Linked DNA regions of Tamandua tetradactyla. The protein of the gene in region 2 interacts with the protein of the main gene of each other region in a pairwise test. Links are inferred from orthologs where the notes say so. Each region holds a gene or a part of one and is shown on either strand. Other genes may lie near its edges.

Region 1 (7,213 bases), on a different chromosome or scaffold from region 2:
GGCCTGTGAGCCTCCAGGAAGCCATCCGGGAACAAGCATCCAGCTACTCCCTCCAGCAGAAGGACCTTTACAATCTCATGGCAGACCTGAGGGACCTGGTACATGCTGGGCCAGGGCAGGGCTCTGGGTCCCAGGCAGGTACTTCCCCCACCAGAGGCAGAGACACAGATATACTTTCAGCTGCTTTGAAAGAGCAGCTCAGCCATTCCAGGCAGGTCCATTCATGTCTAGAGGGTTTACGAGAGCAACTTGATGGCCTGGAAAAGACTTTCAGCCAAATGGCTGGGGTGGGTCAGCTTGCAAAGGCAGCAGCACACCCAAGCCTGATAGAGCCAGCAGATGGGGCACCGCCCAGTTCCTTGCCAGAGGGGAGCATGATCTTGGCGCTGTCGGACATGGGGCAGAGGCTAGAAGCCCGGGTCGACAGGAACACTATCTACAGCACGCTGGTCACTTGTGTGACGTTTGCAGCCATGCTGCCTGTACTCTATCTGCTGTTTAGAAACACCTAGCCCCTAGACTCACCTCCAGTGGGTTTGAGGGGGTCAGTGTGGATATGGATTTAGTTAGAGAATCCAGCAATGAAATGAGCCTTCTGGGGGGCTGAGAGGGCGCACAACTTCAGCCTGAGACTGAGCCCTATCTGTGTGGCTCACCTGAGTACCCAGCAGACTCACTCTCCTTTTTAGGCAATGCTTATGTACATTAATTATCAAACTTTGTGCTAATCTACAATTAAAGTATCTTTGAGTTTGTATTATTTAAAGCAATTTACATCAAACTGATTTTGCCCATTGGAAATTGAGATTCATGACTCAAGGGTTGGGCATGGAGTTAGAGCAATTGCTCCTTTAATACCATCTCATCTTAGGTCCCCTAAGATGGTCAGGCCTGGATTTTCATTTTGTATTTTCTGGCCTGACCTCTGCCTGTCTCATCTTCTGTGTCAAATGGGTTAGGGATCTCAGTGCGTGGAACCTAGCCAGCTGTCCCTCATTGGTGACCAGTTACGTCTCTCTTTTGGATTACTTTCTCTGGCTTGGGGTGGGTGGGGGGTGGGGTTGAATCTCCTGGTACTAACGCTTGAGTAATCAGGATAGCAGGGAAGGATTAGGGAGATGGTTGGTAAATGTTGCTTGGGACGTAATTATAGAGATTGGTGGTTATTTTAGTTTTCTGGCTGCTAAAAGAAATACCATACAAAGGGTTGGCTTAAACAACAGGAACTAATTGGCTCACAGTCCAAAACTGAGGAGTCAGTAAGGTGATGCTTTCTCCTCAAAGACTGTGCTGTTTTGGGGTTGGCTGCAGGTGATTCTTGGTCTTTGGCATTTCTGTCACATGGAAATGCAGATGGCAACATCTTTTTCTCTCTTCCAGGTTCTATTGACTTACAGTTTCTGGCTAATCCCTATATCTTTTCTTTGGTGTCCAACTTTCTTTGCTTATAAGGACTTAACAATATGAGATTAAGGCCCACTCTCATTCAGTTTGGGTGAACCATAAACAATAACATCTTCAGTGGTCCTATTTACAAATTGGTTCACACTCAGAGGACCAGGGATTGGGATCTGAACATGCCTTTTGGGGGGGGACATGAGTCAGTCTCCAATAATGACCAAGCTGGGTCCATGGGGCATTGGACAGCACCACTGTGCTGCTGGGGTGTCTTCCCTCACAGAGACTGGGAATGGCCTTGAAGAGGAGGGGCCTTTCAGAGGTGGGAGGTGCAGAGGGGAGTGAAGGCAGACATCCCTGAGGACACCTGACTTTACCTCTCCCTTTTTGGAGGGGAACAATGACCCTTAATCTCCAGGGCTAAATGGCCTTATATGCCCTTGAGTAAACAGGAGTAGTGGGGAGCACTTGGTACTCATGTCAGTATTGGAGGACTCATGGACTTGGCACATGGTGGAGAACCCAGTGTCCCTTTAGAACACACAGTGGCTGTTATGCAGGTTTGCCTATGCGGAGCTGACTTAGCAGAGGGGCCCTCTGCTCATGGTGCCTGTATTCAGGCTGGGCAGTGAGCATGACCTAAGTGGCTCCATGGGTGTTCAGAATCTCAGAGCATCTGGTTCCTCAGTCATTTGGTCACTCTGTCCTTGGTAGTGTTCTCTGTGTTGTGGTTCCCCAGGATGGCATAGGATAAAATGACCCTTGCATTTGACTGTTCACACTCCTGTGGGGCAAGAGATGATGGGGGTTGTGGGGTTTGTTAGTCTTAAGTCCCCTCTGGGTTGAGATGGATCCTGAACAGTGCATGTTGAGTAAATGGATTTGGAAAGGAGTAGATTCCAAGCACGTGGAGGGGGCCCCCAGAAGGTGCAGAAGCAGGAAAGCCAAGGTGGGTGAGGGACTGGTGGCCAGACTGAGTTGGCTGTAGTGGTGATGGGTGTGGGGCAGTTGTGGAGCATGTTAGAGAAAGGTGGAGGACTTGAAGTGCAGGTTGGGAGGCACCAGGGGTCTCTAAAGTCAGAGGCCAGGTGAAGTAGCCTGGAGGGGCCATGATGCTGGCATAGAAGATATGCTGAGCACCTGAACCAGGTGTTGGAAGTGGGAGTGGTTGGGGAGGGAGGATTTGGAAGAGACGTGTGGTGGATGAGAATGTAGGAGGCCCCTTGATAGGGGTGGGTGGTTGGGAACTGTGTGCCTATGGTGTTGCTCTTGTGGTAGTAGCCAGTGTGGGTGACCCAAATCTCCTGGTTGTGGCACCCCCTAGCTGTGAAGATCCTGAGGGTTTCCAGTGTAATGTGTGTAAGACAGATTTTGCCTCCCAGGAGGATGTCCAGATAGCCTTGAGCCAAAGTCCTCCAGAAGTCCTAGCAGGATGGGCCAGGTCCTGGCTCTCAAGTTTACAGAGCACAGGCCAAGGATATGAAGGGACTGGAAAAGGACACAAATAGGCCTCAAGGAGAAGACCCTTCCACTCTAATGAGGGAGTCCAGATTTGCCCAGCTTCCATGGGGCCCAAGGTCACTTTTTGGGAAAGGACCAGAGTACAGGCCTGAGGGGAAAGAAAGGAAATGTAGTCTAGCTCTGCACCTCTGCACGTTCCCTAGGCTCTCCTTTCCCCCCAGGGTAAGGGTGTGGTATCACCCCCATTTGCAAACGAGTAAATAGGCTTGGGGGTCAGGTTACTTGGCTCAGTGAAGGTGCAAACCCAGCCCAGGTTCTTCCCGCACAGTCAGAGGTGGAGGTGGGGGCCGGAAGGAGGGACTGGTTGTTGGGGAGTCCTGGAAGAAGGGGCGGTTGGGGGCGGTGGGGAGAATCAAAGCTCCCAGGAGTTCAGGTAAAGGAAATTGGGGGATGAAGATTACAGGAGCGAGGTACTGGAAGGGGAAGAGAGGGCTCGGGGCGCTGGGCAGGGCTAGGTGGTGGAGGCTAGCGAACTGGCTGAGCAGGTGAGAGGGGGCGGGAAGAGGCCGGAGCTCTGTACCACCAGAACCTAGGAGTGCGGAGCGACACGCCCCCTGCCGCCCCCCGGCCCCCGGCCCCTCTGATCCCGGGAGAGTTCCTGATTCCGGTTCCAGCGCTGCGCGCAGGTGAGGCCCGGCGGGGGAGGGGCGGGGCCGCGGGCTCCACTCCTCACCCCCCACCCGGTCGTTATCCTCGTTGTCACGGTTACCGCCGCGGTGCAGCCGGTCCCCACTCCCCCACGTGGTGGGGTGAACCCCCGGCCTTCGGCAAATGTCGAGCCCGCGGGGCTGGAATGCGGGATCCCCGGCTGCTCGAGGCCGCGCGCCCGGCTCTCTGGCTGCTTCCGGCCTGGCCCGGGCGGCGGGCTGGTGAGGGGGGGAAGGAGCAGAGCCCGGCCCGGCCGACGCGGCTTTGTCTCCTTTGTTCCCCGCGGTAGCAGCGCCGCGGCGGGAGGGGCGGGCAGCGGGCGCAGTTTTCCGCCCCTCGGTCTCCGGGTAACAGCTGCGGCTCCGCCGGACCCACCTCCGGGGGGCGGGGAGGGGGGGCAAGGCCGCGCGCGCAGATCCCGAGCCCGGAGTGGCCGGCGCCCGCCTCGGCGCGCTCATCCCGCGGGGCCCGGCCGGGCGGTGAGTGAGGCGCACGGGCCCGAGTCCGGGCCCGGGGCTGGGGTGGCGGGGACGGGGACCAGGCCGCGTGCCCCAGAGGTGGAAGGACCCCAGGCCGCGATCCCGGCCAGCTGAGGCAGCCTGGGTGAGTGGTGGGCGTTTCGGATATGTGAGTTGGGACTACACTTCTCCGCGCGAAGAGAAACTCTGGCGGCTGCTCCTGTAACGCGATTGGGAGACAGAGGAGGTGGAGCTGCTCCTCCGCGCCCCCTCCTCGCCGCGGCTGGGACCGGCCGGCCTCTTCCCCGCCCTCCCAGGACCACTGGTGGGGTCCTTATCCCGCGGGAAGAGTGAGGGTGGGGGAATAGCCGAATCGGGAGGTCGAGGCTTTCCTTCGGGCTGCACTCGGCGGGCCTGACAAAGGCGGTCCACCACCCTCCTGCCGCACACCCCAAGAGGGGGGACGCCCCTCACCGTTCACTGACTGTGGGTTATTAATGAGCGCTCCCTGAGTTACCGCGGGCGCGTGGCAAATGGTCCCCCCCCCACACACACACACACCCCACCCCGCAACACACAGAAAACAGGGCGGGCGGTGCGCACCAGTGCGCTGTCAATGAGTAACTTGCCTCCTTGGTGGACGCTGGGAACAGAGCAGAGCAGGAGGACCGAAAAGAAAGGCCGATTTCCCACAAACTCCGGAGACGCGGCAAAATGTGGGCTAGGTGGGAGCTAGATCCTCTGCAGGTGCGCAAGGGCAAAATTTGCCTTCCTTTGGTTGGTGAGAACAGCCCTCGGAGGGTCCTGCAGGTGCTTACTCTTGGCAGATATGTTAGGTAGCCTTGGACCGTGCTGAAGAGGTCCAGAGAAAGACTGCTGAGCAGGTCAGGGCAAGAGTTAAGGCTTTGGCTGTGAGCCTGGACTGGGCCTGAGACCTGGGAGTGGGCAGGAGATCTTGCCTGTGCAAGTGGGAATAGGAGGCCTGGCTCCCAAACCAGCCTCTTCTGTCTGCTCTGGCCTGGTCTTTAATATGAGTGGGAATGATGCCTTGCCCTTTGAGAAGGTCATGGACCTACGTCTCCTGGACTGGCTAGGTTTACTTCGCTGTGAAATGGGGGTTCTTTCAGCATACAAGAAAACACCTGCTCTGTACCAATGTCTGTGCTAGTTGCTGGGGCCTCTGAATGAAACACCACACTTCCTGCTTTGAGCGAGCTTCATGTTCGAAGTAGGAGGGTGGAATGGGAAAAAATGGTCTCGGATAGGTGCTGCTAATTCTAGGCACACAGCATATCATGTTTAATGGTTCAGAGCAGTCCTGCCTCCTGTTGTACACATAGGAAATCTGAGGCCCAGAGAGCCAGAGGCAGAGGTACAATAAGTGCTAACACTAGTCCATCCACACTGAGCTCCCTCCTCAGGGCCTGGGAGGACAAGGAAGGCTCCCCGGGGACAGAGTAGCTGGGTGTGGGAGTTAATGGGATGAAGAGGGAGTGGGCATTCCTGGAGGGGGGAACAGCCTGTGTAAAGGCACAGAGGAGTGAAGCCGCCTGCAGTTCAAGCTGCAGGAACGAAGAGCATGTGCGGGGGAGGGCTTTGTCTAGAGGACTTTGACTTTTATCACTGAGGCCCTGGGGTGCTCCAAAGGCTCTGACGAGAGGGCTGTGCTCAGATTCTGCTTGAGTGAGAAAGATCCCACTGAGATGCTGGGATAGGGTGGGGGTGGGGAGCTAGACTAGAGGGGCTGATGGCTGCTCTGTGGCCTGTGGCAGAGGTTAAGTAAAAATACCATGGCTCACTGCCTACCATGGAGGAAAAAATGCCACTGCCCTTCTTCCTTTCTTCCTCCCCCCACCCAGTGCCCTTCCCTACACATGGTTTGCGGGTGGGCGCTGGGCCCAGTTTCACGAGAACTGTGATTGAAGAAGGCTGACAGCTTTTCTGTAGTGGGCCGTGTAGGTCAGTCTCCGACCTCTGTGGCCTGGCCAGGAACTGTTCTGATCCCGCCTCCTCTTCCCCTGGGCCTCTGGATCCAGTTGTGATTTTACATATGGGGAGTGGTTTGATCGCTCCCACTTGAGGGCTGGAAAACCCTGACCTGGGGTAGGCTCAGAGCAAATGAGGGAGTGTTAGTCTAACAATAGGACCCTCTGCCCCAGGCACATCACTGGGAGTGAGGTGGCTGGAGGGAATGAGCAGTCATTGAGAGCAGGAGGTGGCCTCTGCCCTGCTTAGACAGGTTCTTTTTTTCCCAGAGGGAGAAACTCCCCCCCCATCCCTTGGAAACAAGGTGGGGGCTCCTGGGCAGCCTAGCCTGGCTTACCACTATCCTGGGCTTCTCGCCGGGTTCACCGCTCTCCCTGCCACCCACCCTACCCTGTCCCTACCCCCACCCCCTTGGGTGGCAAACAGAGGCAGCCTTGTTCCTGCTTCCATAGAGCTGCCCTGTTCTCTGCACACTAAAAATGGAAACCCCCAAGCTATTTTGGGAGCCGTGCCCAGCGGGCTGTGGCCATGGCTTCCCTTCTCCCACCGGGCTGGTGGACACTCCTCCGAGCCCAGTGCCCAGCCTGGCCTGGGGAAAGCTTTAGGAGTACCCGCCACAGCCTTGACTGGGATGAGCTGACTTGGGCCAATGAAAGCTCTTGAGAGAGCCTGCTTGGACAGCCTGACAGCTGGGTGGTGGTGGTGGGGGCCGGGTGGCATGACCTGAGCACAGGCAGGTAGACTAAGTGTTGCCCAGCCTAGAAGACATGACCCATGGCAGGACTTTGCCAATCTTGGTGTTCCTAGTTAAGGACACTTGGGGTTTGGGGAAGGTAGTCCTGCCATAGTTTCCTGGTCTCTGGGTCTCAGGCCTCAGCTGGGACCTGTAAGGAGGTGTCAATTAAGAGAGAGGCATCCAAGGTCTGAGGAGGTCTGGAGATGGGCCAGAAATTGGAGACATAGCCAGCCATGGTGACATCCTCCAGGACACCCTCTTTCTCATCTCCTCTCCCACTTACTCCACACCTTGGGCCCTGGCTCTGCTTTGACCTTCTGGACTAGTCAGTCCTGTTGTACATGAGGCTTGAACCAGAGAGGTATCTAAATGTGCAGGGTGGCATGCATATTTGGGGAGTTTGTGTGATGTGTGCCTGTGTGAGGTGCTTGTTTGTGCAATGTGGGTATTTCTGTGTGTGGTAGGG
Region 2 (7,423 bases):
CCTCAGCTACTTAAATCTGCCTCTGCAGCTCTTTTCTACCCATCTTTCCCTCCGCCTGAGAGCTCTTTCCTAGGACAGGCCTCTCATTCCCCTCCCTTCCCCACCCACTACCGGATGTGAGATTTTGCCTTCCATAGAAAGAAAGGCTGTAGACTGGGGAAAGGTTACATTTGATCTCAGTTCTCTGATAGAGAACAATTGCTGGGTCTGGGTTTATTTTGAATTAGTAAAGTCATGCTTCTAAGACAAGGAAAGGCCAGAACAAATCCTTTCCATCCCCATCACTGAAAGACATCTAAGTGAGCTAAGGACAGCTGAAGTCTCCCTCGTTTGTTAAAATTCCCAGGAAGGAGATTCAATAACCTTCCACTTTTCTTCTGGTATCACCACCCAACCCTGACCACTGGAATAGTATTCTTTCTTACTAACCCCATTCACTCTTGCATCCATAAAGTCTGTTTACTTTCCTTAAATTTTTCAAACTAAGGGAAAGATATTTTAGCCTCCTTAATTTGTTCTGGGCTACAAAGTAGTGCATGAAGCTTAAATTAGGTTCGTGAGGTTCTCTTCTAAAATTTATACTGAGTTTTATGGTTTGGAAAGCAATCTGAAATATTTTATCTCATTTGTTCCATTCCTTCCAACAGCTCCATGAGAAAGGTGGGATAAATATTATAATCTTCAAATGACACTATATGAAAACATTTGTAAACTGGAAAGTACTTTGCATGAATGAGCCACTGCTTCACAGTTAGGAGCCAGAGAGGGTAAAGTAACTTGCCCAAGGTCACACAGTTAAAGGGTAAAGCCACGGCTCAAATCAAGAACTCTTGGCTTAAATCTAGTACTTCTCTAAGGCGCTGTGTGGTCTGGTCTTCACATAAACTCTCTAACTTTGCACAGAGAAAAGCTGTTTCATAGATGCAAAACACATAACCAGATTGGCCATCTCAAAATCATTTAACATAAGGAACTAGACACCTGTATACAGACAAATAAGTGAAACTCATGACCACTCCTGTAAAAACAATATCTCTGTTTGTAATACCAAACACAGTTTGAGAAACTCTTGAAAGGAAAATATATTAGTGGGCAATAAATTTGTCCATGGACAAAATGTGAAAGGACACTAATTAATTACACTTTAGCCTATCATCTTTCAGTATGATTAAAATATAAGGACTAGCCATAATTAATAATTAATGCTTTCTATGAACCCAGAAGTCAGAGTTGAAAAAAAAAAAAAAACTCTGTCAAATAAATATTCCAAAGCCTTCTTTACTCTGAGCCACAATACCTCCCCATATACAGGGTCCTCAACTTGTCACTTAGTTTCTAGGAAATGCACCTCATCTGGAAGCCTTCTTTAACTGACCTTATTGAACTATATTTGAAATTAACTCACGAATGTTGAAACAGTCTGAAATGGAAGAATTTATACTTGCTCACATGTTCATTCCAGCATTCACTTGTCAAATATTTATTGAGCACCTGCCACCTGTGAAGCATTGAGCTAAGCACATTGGATATAACAAAGTAAACCAAACAGTCCCTGCCTTCATGGAGATTACAGTCTAGCGTTGTATTATGTGGTCTCTTGTGTTTCCTAGGTCACCAATTATATTATGTGCTCTTTGTGAGCAGGAACTATATATTTTAATTTTCTAAAGCACTCTTATAACACCTTACACTACATTCTATACAAAGAGAACCGACAAACCAAAAGAGAATCTTTGACTACATAATCTGTAACATTTCCTCCCACTCCATCCCCCCAGTATGGTGTAAGATTGCCAATTATTTTAAAACTCCATAGGGTCATAAAACTGGGATGTCAAAGCGTCCAAAAGAATGAGCTTACAGCTAACAGATCAAGATCCAATGCAGCTGGAGATACCCAGAAGGAAGGGGACCTGGATGCCAGAACTAAACCTATAAATTGGAAGAGAAGCTTGGAGATGGTGGAAATGAGGAATGCTCTCACTGGACAATTGATACATCACCCCGCAGAAGAAAATGGTGCTTTATCCCCAGACTACTAAACAGAAAGTGTAAAGGAATACCTTGATTGCTGAAGACCATCTTCCCCTACTGCCAAAGAGAGAGAATAAAATGACAACGCATGTTTCTACATGACGACCCTCCTGCCCCCGACACTGTACAGGACAAGTATAAGAATCAAGTTACTCAGGGTGGGGTAATAAAAGGAGTCATGGGTTCAGAATCAGAATTGCGTTTGAGTCCAGCTTCTGCCATTCATCAGGCAAGATGGTACTGGGCAAGTCAGGTATCCTCTCTGAGACTCAGTAAAATGGCAACAACCTTGATTTATCTATCTCACATAAACACTGTGATGAGAGTCAAATGAGATATGTACTATAAAAGCACTTCTGAAACCACACCACGCTATACAAATCCTGAGATGACTGTAAGGATAGATAAACTCCAGAAGAGCTTCCCACATCAACCCAGGAACCCTTACTGCCTCCTCCTTCTTGCAGCCCCACCCCTGAATTCACAGTAGTAGTTCACCATCCACATCTCAAAAAAGGTAAGTGCACTAATTCCCAGTGGGGAGACGTAAACCATCTAACTCTTTGCCTCAATCTGTCTCAGGTCTCCCTTTACAAGGGTCAAATGACAGAGAAGGGAGTGGAGGTGGCTCAAACCCGCCACATACACATTATATCCTTTGTAGCTGTCTGCCTTCTCTCCACTGCCAAGTCAGATCCCTGTCTGCGGACTGCTGAACTAATCTAAGCAGGACTCTGAAGCAATACAGAGATTAGTGTTTGGGAGAGATTATGGGCATTTTAGGCTACATTCCACAGTCAAAAGGAAATTATTATGAGCATGGATAACCAAAGGTTAACTTAACTCAGAGAGAGCAATTGCTCCCCTGCAAATGTTCTTCCCCATCTCTCTAAAAATACTTTTTTCCAGGCCCAGTCCTTTCATTCGCTTGTTCAATCCTCTATGCACCCATCTATTCAGGTAGGATGTGTGTAGCACCTACAAACCACTCCCTCCCCACCCACCCCATCTCAGATCCTCAAGGAAGAAGGGAGGCAAGGAAAAGGCAGAAACTTTACAAAGTTTGTACCAATCCTTTGGAGCAAAGAATTACAAACACAGGGTATATATTACCAGTGACAGAGGAGGCTTTGCAGACTCTTGGCGGGGGAGGGGATTATGTGCTAAGAAACCAAGGAGCCAGTACCTCTGCCCATCAGACCTCAGAGCCCCAAACAACTTCTCCTCTAAGCAGAGGGGAGCTCCGTTTTGCAGAGTCAAATTTATCCAACACTGCAGGGAAAATTAAAGCTAGAGTACTGGCTGGCTAGCAAGTCTCAATTTAAACCCTAAGCCTGGAAAGAAAGAAATCTTAAAATGATCTATGCATTTTGGGGCGGCTGGTAAAAACACAGGCCTGTCTAGGTGCAAAGGGTGTTTCTTGTACCATCATTTAGTCCAAGAACATCCTCTTCATTCTAGAAATGGAATTTATCCCATCCACAAGCCCCACCATTCCCTAACAACCAGCCTGATAGAGGCCTGCACTTGAAGCCACCTCTTCTAACACATGCCCCCCCCCCCGCCCCCCGCCGCCGGGGCCCTTCCCCTAGCAATTCCAACACCTAAAACCAATCCCAGTCCACATGACCAGGCTTCCGTCTGCCTCCTACACTTGGCAAGATGGGGACCCAAATTCAGCCTCTAGCCTGGCAAGTCAAAGGTACCTAAAAGCATTTCCCTGTCTCTCCTTTCCCTTGGTTTCATTGCTCATGGCTTGTATTTTAAAACACAGAATCAAAAGGTATGTTTTGAACATGGACACACACAGAGGGAACATAAACACAAATGCCAGAGAGGCCCAAGAGACCCAATGCTCCTATGTCAACATTTCCCCACAGATTCTAAAAACCATAGCCCACCCAGACCATTCTTTTGTAACCTTTTATCAAAATGCAACACCCTCCCAACCAGCCTTTCTTTTAGTAAGTGTAGAAAAATCAAATTATTAGCAAACCTACCTGTCTATACTCTGGGGTAACCTTACACTCATGGTTTCTTGATGTCTCCACGGTTCCAGAATCCTGTAGCTTTTGGTGTCTTGAACAGGACTGAATCACTTGCAATTTTTAAGCAACGTGAGAGGAGGCCCTCCCAACTTGAAGACTGAATCTTTTTTTCCTCCAGCACTCAGGACCCTGGTAACTGAAGCTCCATTCTACTTATATCAGTTAACATGGTCTCCTTTCTTAGCCCCCGCTACCCCTCCCCCTCCTAAAAAAAAAAAAAAAAAACGAAAGGAAAAGAGGAAAAACTACGACCTTCTTAGAAACCAAAACCCCAACCACAAATCTCTTCAAGGTTAATGCTATGGGCTAAAAAATGAATCAGAGAAAGAATGTGACTTCAAAATATCAGTCTTAACTGTAAAATACAGATAACCATCCTTTTAATCCAGTTTTCCCAGCTGTCCTTCTGTTGGCAAGGGAGCCTAAAGCTCCAAAGAAAAACAAATTTTCTGGTCTCCAATGCTTAAAACGACGACAACGGATATATGTGAGGGAGAGAGAGAGAGGGGGGGGGGAAAAAAAGGATGAATAAATCCGAATTGGCACTTGTAAGAAATCTCAGCTGATTTGCACAGTAAAAAAAATAAATAAACCCATACAATAGTATGTATACAACAGCACTCCTTCCAAGTCCTGTGCAACCTTAGGAACCAAAAATGTATAGATTTCTTTTTTTTAAAAAAAAAGATCTTTCACTTTAAATGCTTTGAAATTCTTAAATGAGCCAATCGCACACACAAAAAATAAAAAAAAACACCTGAAAGGTTAAAATGCAGTGCTTTTTAACCTTTAAAATGGAAGCAATAAACACAAAAACAGAGACTCTCTGAAAATATTCTCTCTTTTTCTTTTTCCTTTAAACTTGCAGGTTTCTCCACCTACCCCAGCTTGGTTCTCAGACCCAGCTTAGGTTCAGCCTTTTTCTGAAAGACAATTTCCTGAGTTAGTTCTGCTGTTTTGCTCCTCCACATCCAGGCTCCGAAATTTTCTCCTGCCTCAGCCTCCATGAAACGGCGATTTCGTTTCCTCCGTTCCCCCTTCTCTCCCTCTCGCCCGGCCAGAAAAACTGCTCCCTTATTATTATTAGTTGGGATTATTATTGTGGATTTGAGTTCGGGGAAGGTCTCTCCTCCCACCAGCCTCCTGGAAAATCCGATCGCCTCGCTTCTCTCGGCCTCGCTTTTTCCTCCCTCTCCGCCCCGTTCCTCAGCTCGCAGGCTGGAGCCCACCGTGCTCGGCGCAGGACCGCCGGCCGGGCCTCGGGCTCCCGGCCCCGCTTGCCTCACACCGACCGCCTCGCTCCGGCCTTCGCGGCCGCTCCGGACTCCAAGCTCGAGCGCAAGCCGGGAAGGCGGCGGCGGCGGCGGCGGCGGCGGCTGCGGCGGCTGCGGCCCGGCACCGGCGGGCGTCCGGCTCCCGGCGTCGCGGCCGCGCTCGCCTCCTTCCGGGCCCCTTCCCCCTCGGCTCGCCGCTCGCTCGGGCGCAGGCCCGGCCGGCCGCCCCCTCCCCGCCTCCCCTCGCTCGGCCTTCCCCGCGAGCCTTTCTCCTGCCCTCGCTCCCGCGGGGGGGCGGGGCCGCAGGCTCCTCCTCCTCGCGGCGCGGCCCGCCGGCCTTTCCTCTCACGCCCGGGCCGGGAGCGCGGGCCGAGAAGCTGCCCGCCCTTCCCTCCTTCGAGGGCTCGTCTGCCGGCCCCGCTCCCGACCTCTCAGCGCGCCCTTTCCCCCTTCGGCCCTCGTCGCCGCACCCCGGTCGGTCCCCGCCGCGGCCTCACGGTCGCCGGCCCCGCCTCCCCGCGCGGCCTAGCTGGTCCCCCCGGCTTAGCCACATCCCGGGCTTTTCCAGGCCCGGCCTGCGGGCGACCCCCGTCCGGACCCCGCGAGGCACCGCGCGCCGCCCCTCCCTCCGCCTCGCCGCTTGCGCTCGGGCGCGTTTTTCCCCGTAGGTACTCGCGCTCCGCACCCCGAGCTTTGTTATCCCCGCCTGACCTCCCCCCCGCCGGCCGCGGTGCCCGGAGCCGCAGACCCGCCCCGACGTCTTCGGGTTTTACCGTTTTGCATTCATCGGCATCACCCCTGCTCTCCCAGGTCCTCAGCTCACCCTCGCACCACCGCTTTTCTCATCTTTATTTTTAAGGAATTTATCGGGCCTCCTTGCGTGGCCAGGAGCTTTTTAAACTCCCCCCTCCTCGTTTCCGTGGCTCCCCCCACTTCCAACACGCACCGACTACACGGGAAGAAAGACCCTTAGCAGATGCCCCTCCGGCTGGTTTTGGCATCTTAGTACCGGACCGTGTGAAACGTATTTGAACTCGATGGGAAAGACTTTCCAGGACAAATCTGTTTTCATAACCTCCTCAGCTAGAATCATGGTTTCTAAATCGAAGTAACAGGGTATTTGTCAGAAGGTCCCAAGCGCTGTGATTAAAAAAATAAGATAAATAGAAAACTTTGGTGAGGACTGGAGAGTGAACTTTGACTTCTGGCCTAGGGAGGTGCTGGTTTTCAGGGTCCGGCTGTTAGTGGCATGTGTGCATAGGGTCTCTGCTCTTCACACCACTTTGACTGGGGTTGAAAGGAATATATACATATGTATATTTACCTACCGTACGGACTGTGACCCCAGCAGTGTTTGAATTAATAGGTTTGCAAATAGCAAGAGGAAAAAGAAATCAAAACCCTCCTGAAGATCTACTCTGAATTAGGAATTTCACCTAAATTATGTCAGGGACGGGTTGGCAAATAAATGAAAGACCTGCTGCCTCCATCCCTTTTCCCCCAATCCTTAGGCCAGAACCCCCAAAGATAACTGGTCTGCCCAACTGTTGGTCACCACGTTCCAAATTCCTACTCGCTTTACTGTTTCTTCCCTCCTCACACTACCTGCAAAAATGATGCTTCCAAATGTCAACACTTCCTCTTATGGGGATAGACCAGTGGTTGCCAAACATTTCTTTACCATGTTCCCTTAATAGGTGTAATATCTGTTCTCTCTCTCTTTTTTTTTATTTTCAAGATAGAACTTCAGATAATGTATTTTAAATATTTCTTCTTTTCTATTATATTTAAATAGAAAAGAATTTCTCTCTAAGCAATGCTTTATCTGATTCCTTAAGGTTGTGCTTTCACTGTTATTTAGATCCAGTATGCTAATTTCCTGCATGTTTTTTTGACCCATGGTTATTTAGAAGTTTAAGTTATATATATTTTGTAAATATTTGGTATCTTATTGTTGATTTCTAATTTAATTTATATAAAGAAAATATTATCCCTATGATTTCTGTGCTTTTAAATTTGTTTAGACTTGTTTTATGACCTGTGTACTTGAAACGAATGTGTATTCTC

The links. The genes of interacting proteins can lie anywhere in the genome.
Region 1: the proteins of ARHGEF11 (region 2) and PLXNB1 interact in a two-hybrid assay, tested with the Homo sapiens proteins (2 studies listed by BioGRID). The link is inferred for Tamandua tetradactyla from reciprocal best matches to the Homo sapiens genes ARHGEF11 and PLXNB1.

Annotation. Positions count from the first base shown.
Region 1 is NC_135341.1:37,864,608-37,871,820, forward strand, and holds the start of PLXNB1 (plexin-B1), read left to right. Parts: upstream 1-4,194; 5' UTR 4,195-4,739; coding exon 4,740-4,772; intron 4,773-7,213. Other genes in the region: CCDC51 (mitochondrial potassium channel), read left to right, coding at 1-512. UniProt on the Homo sapiens protein: Receptor for SEMA4D. Plays a role in GABAergic synapse development. Mediates SEMA4A- and SEMA4D-dependent inhibitory synapse development. Plays a role in RHOA activation and subsequent changes of the actin cytoskeleton.
Region 2 is NC_135330.1:10,069,321-10,076,743, forward strand, and holds the start of ARHGEF11 (rho guanine nucleotide exchange factor 11), read right to left. Parts: upstream 3,022-7,423; 5' UTR 1-3,021. UniProt on the Homo sapiens protein: May play a role in the regulation of RhoA GTPase by guanine nucleotide-binding alpha-12 (GNA12) and alpha-13 (GNA13). Acts as guanine nucleotide exchange factor (GEF) for RhoA GTPase and may act as GTPase-activating protein (GAP) for GNA12 and GNA13.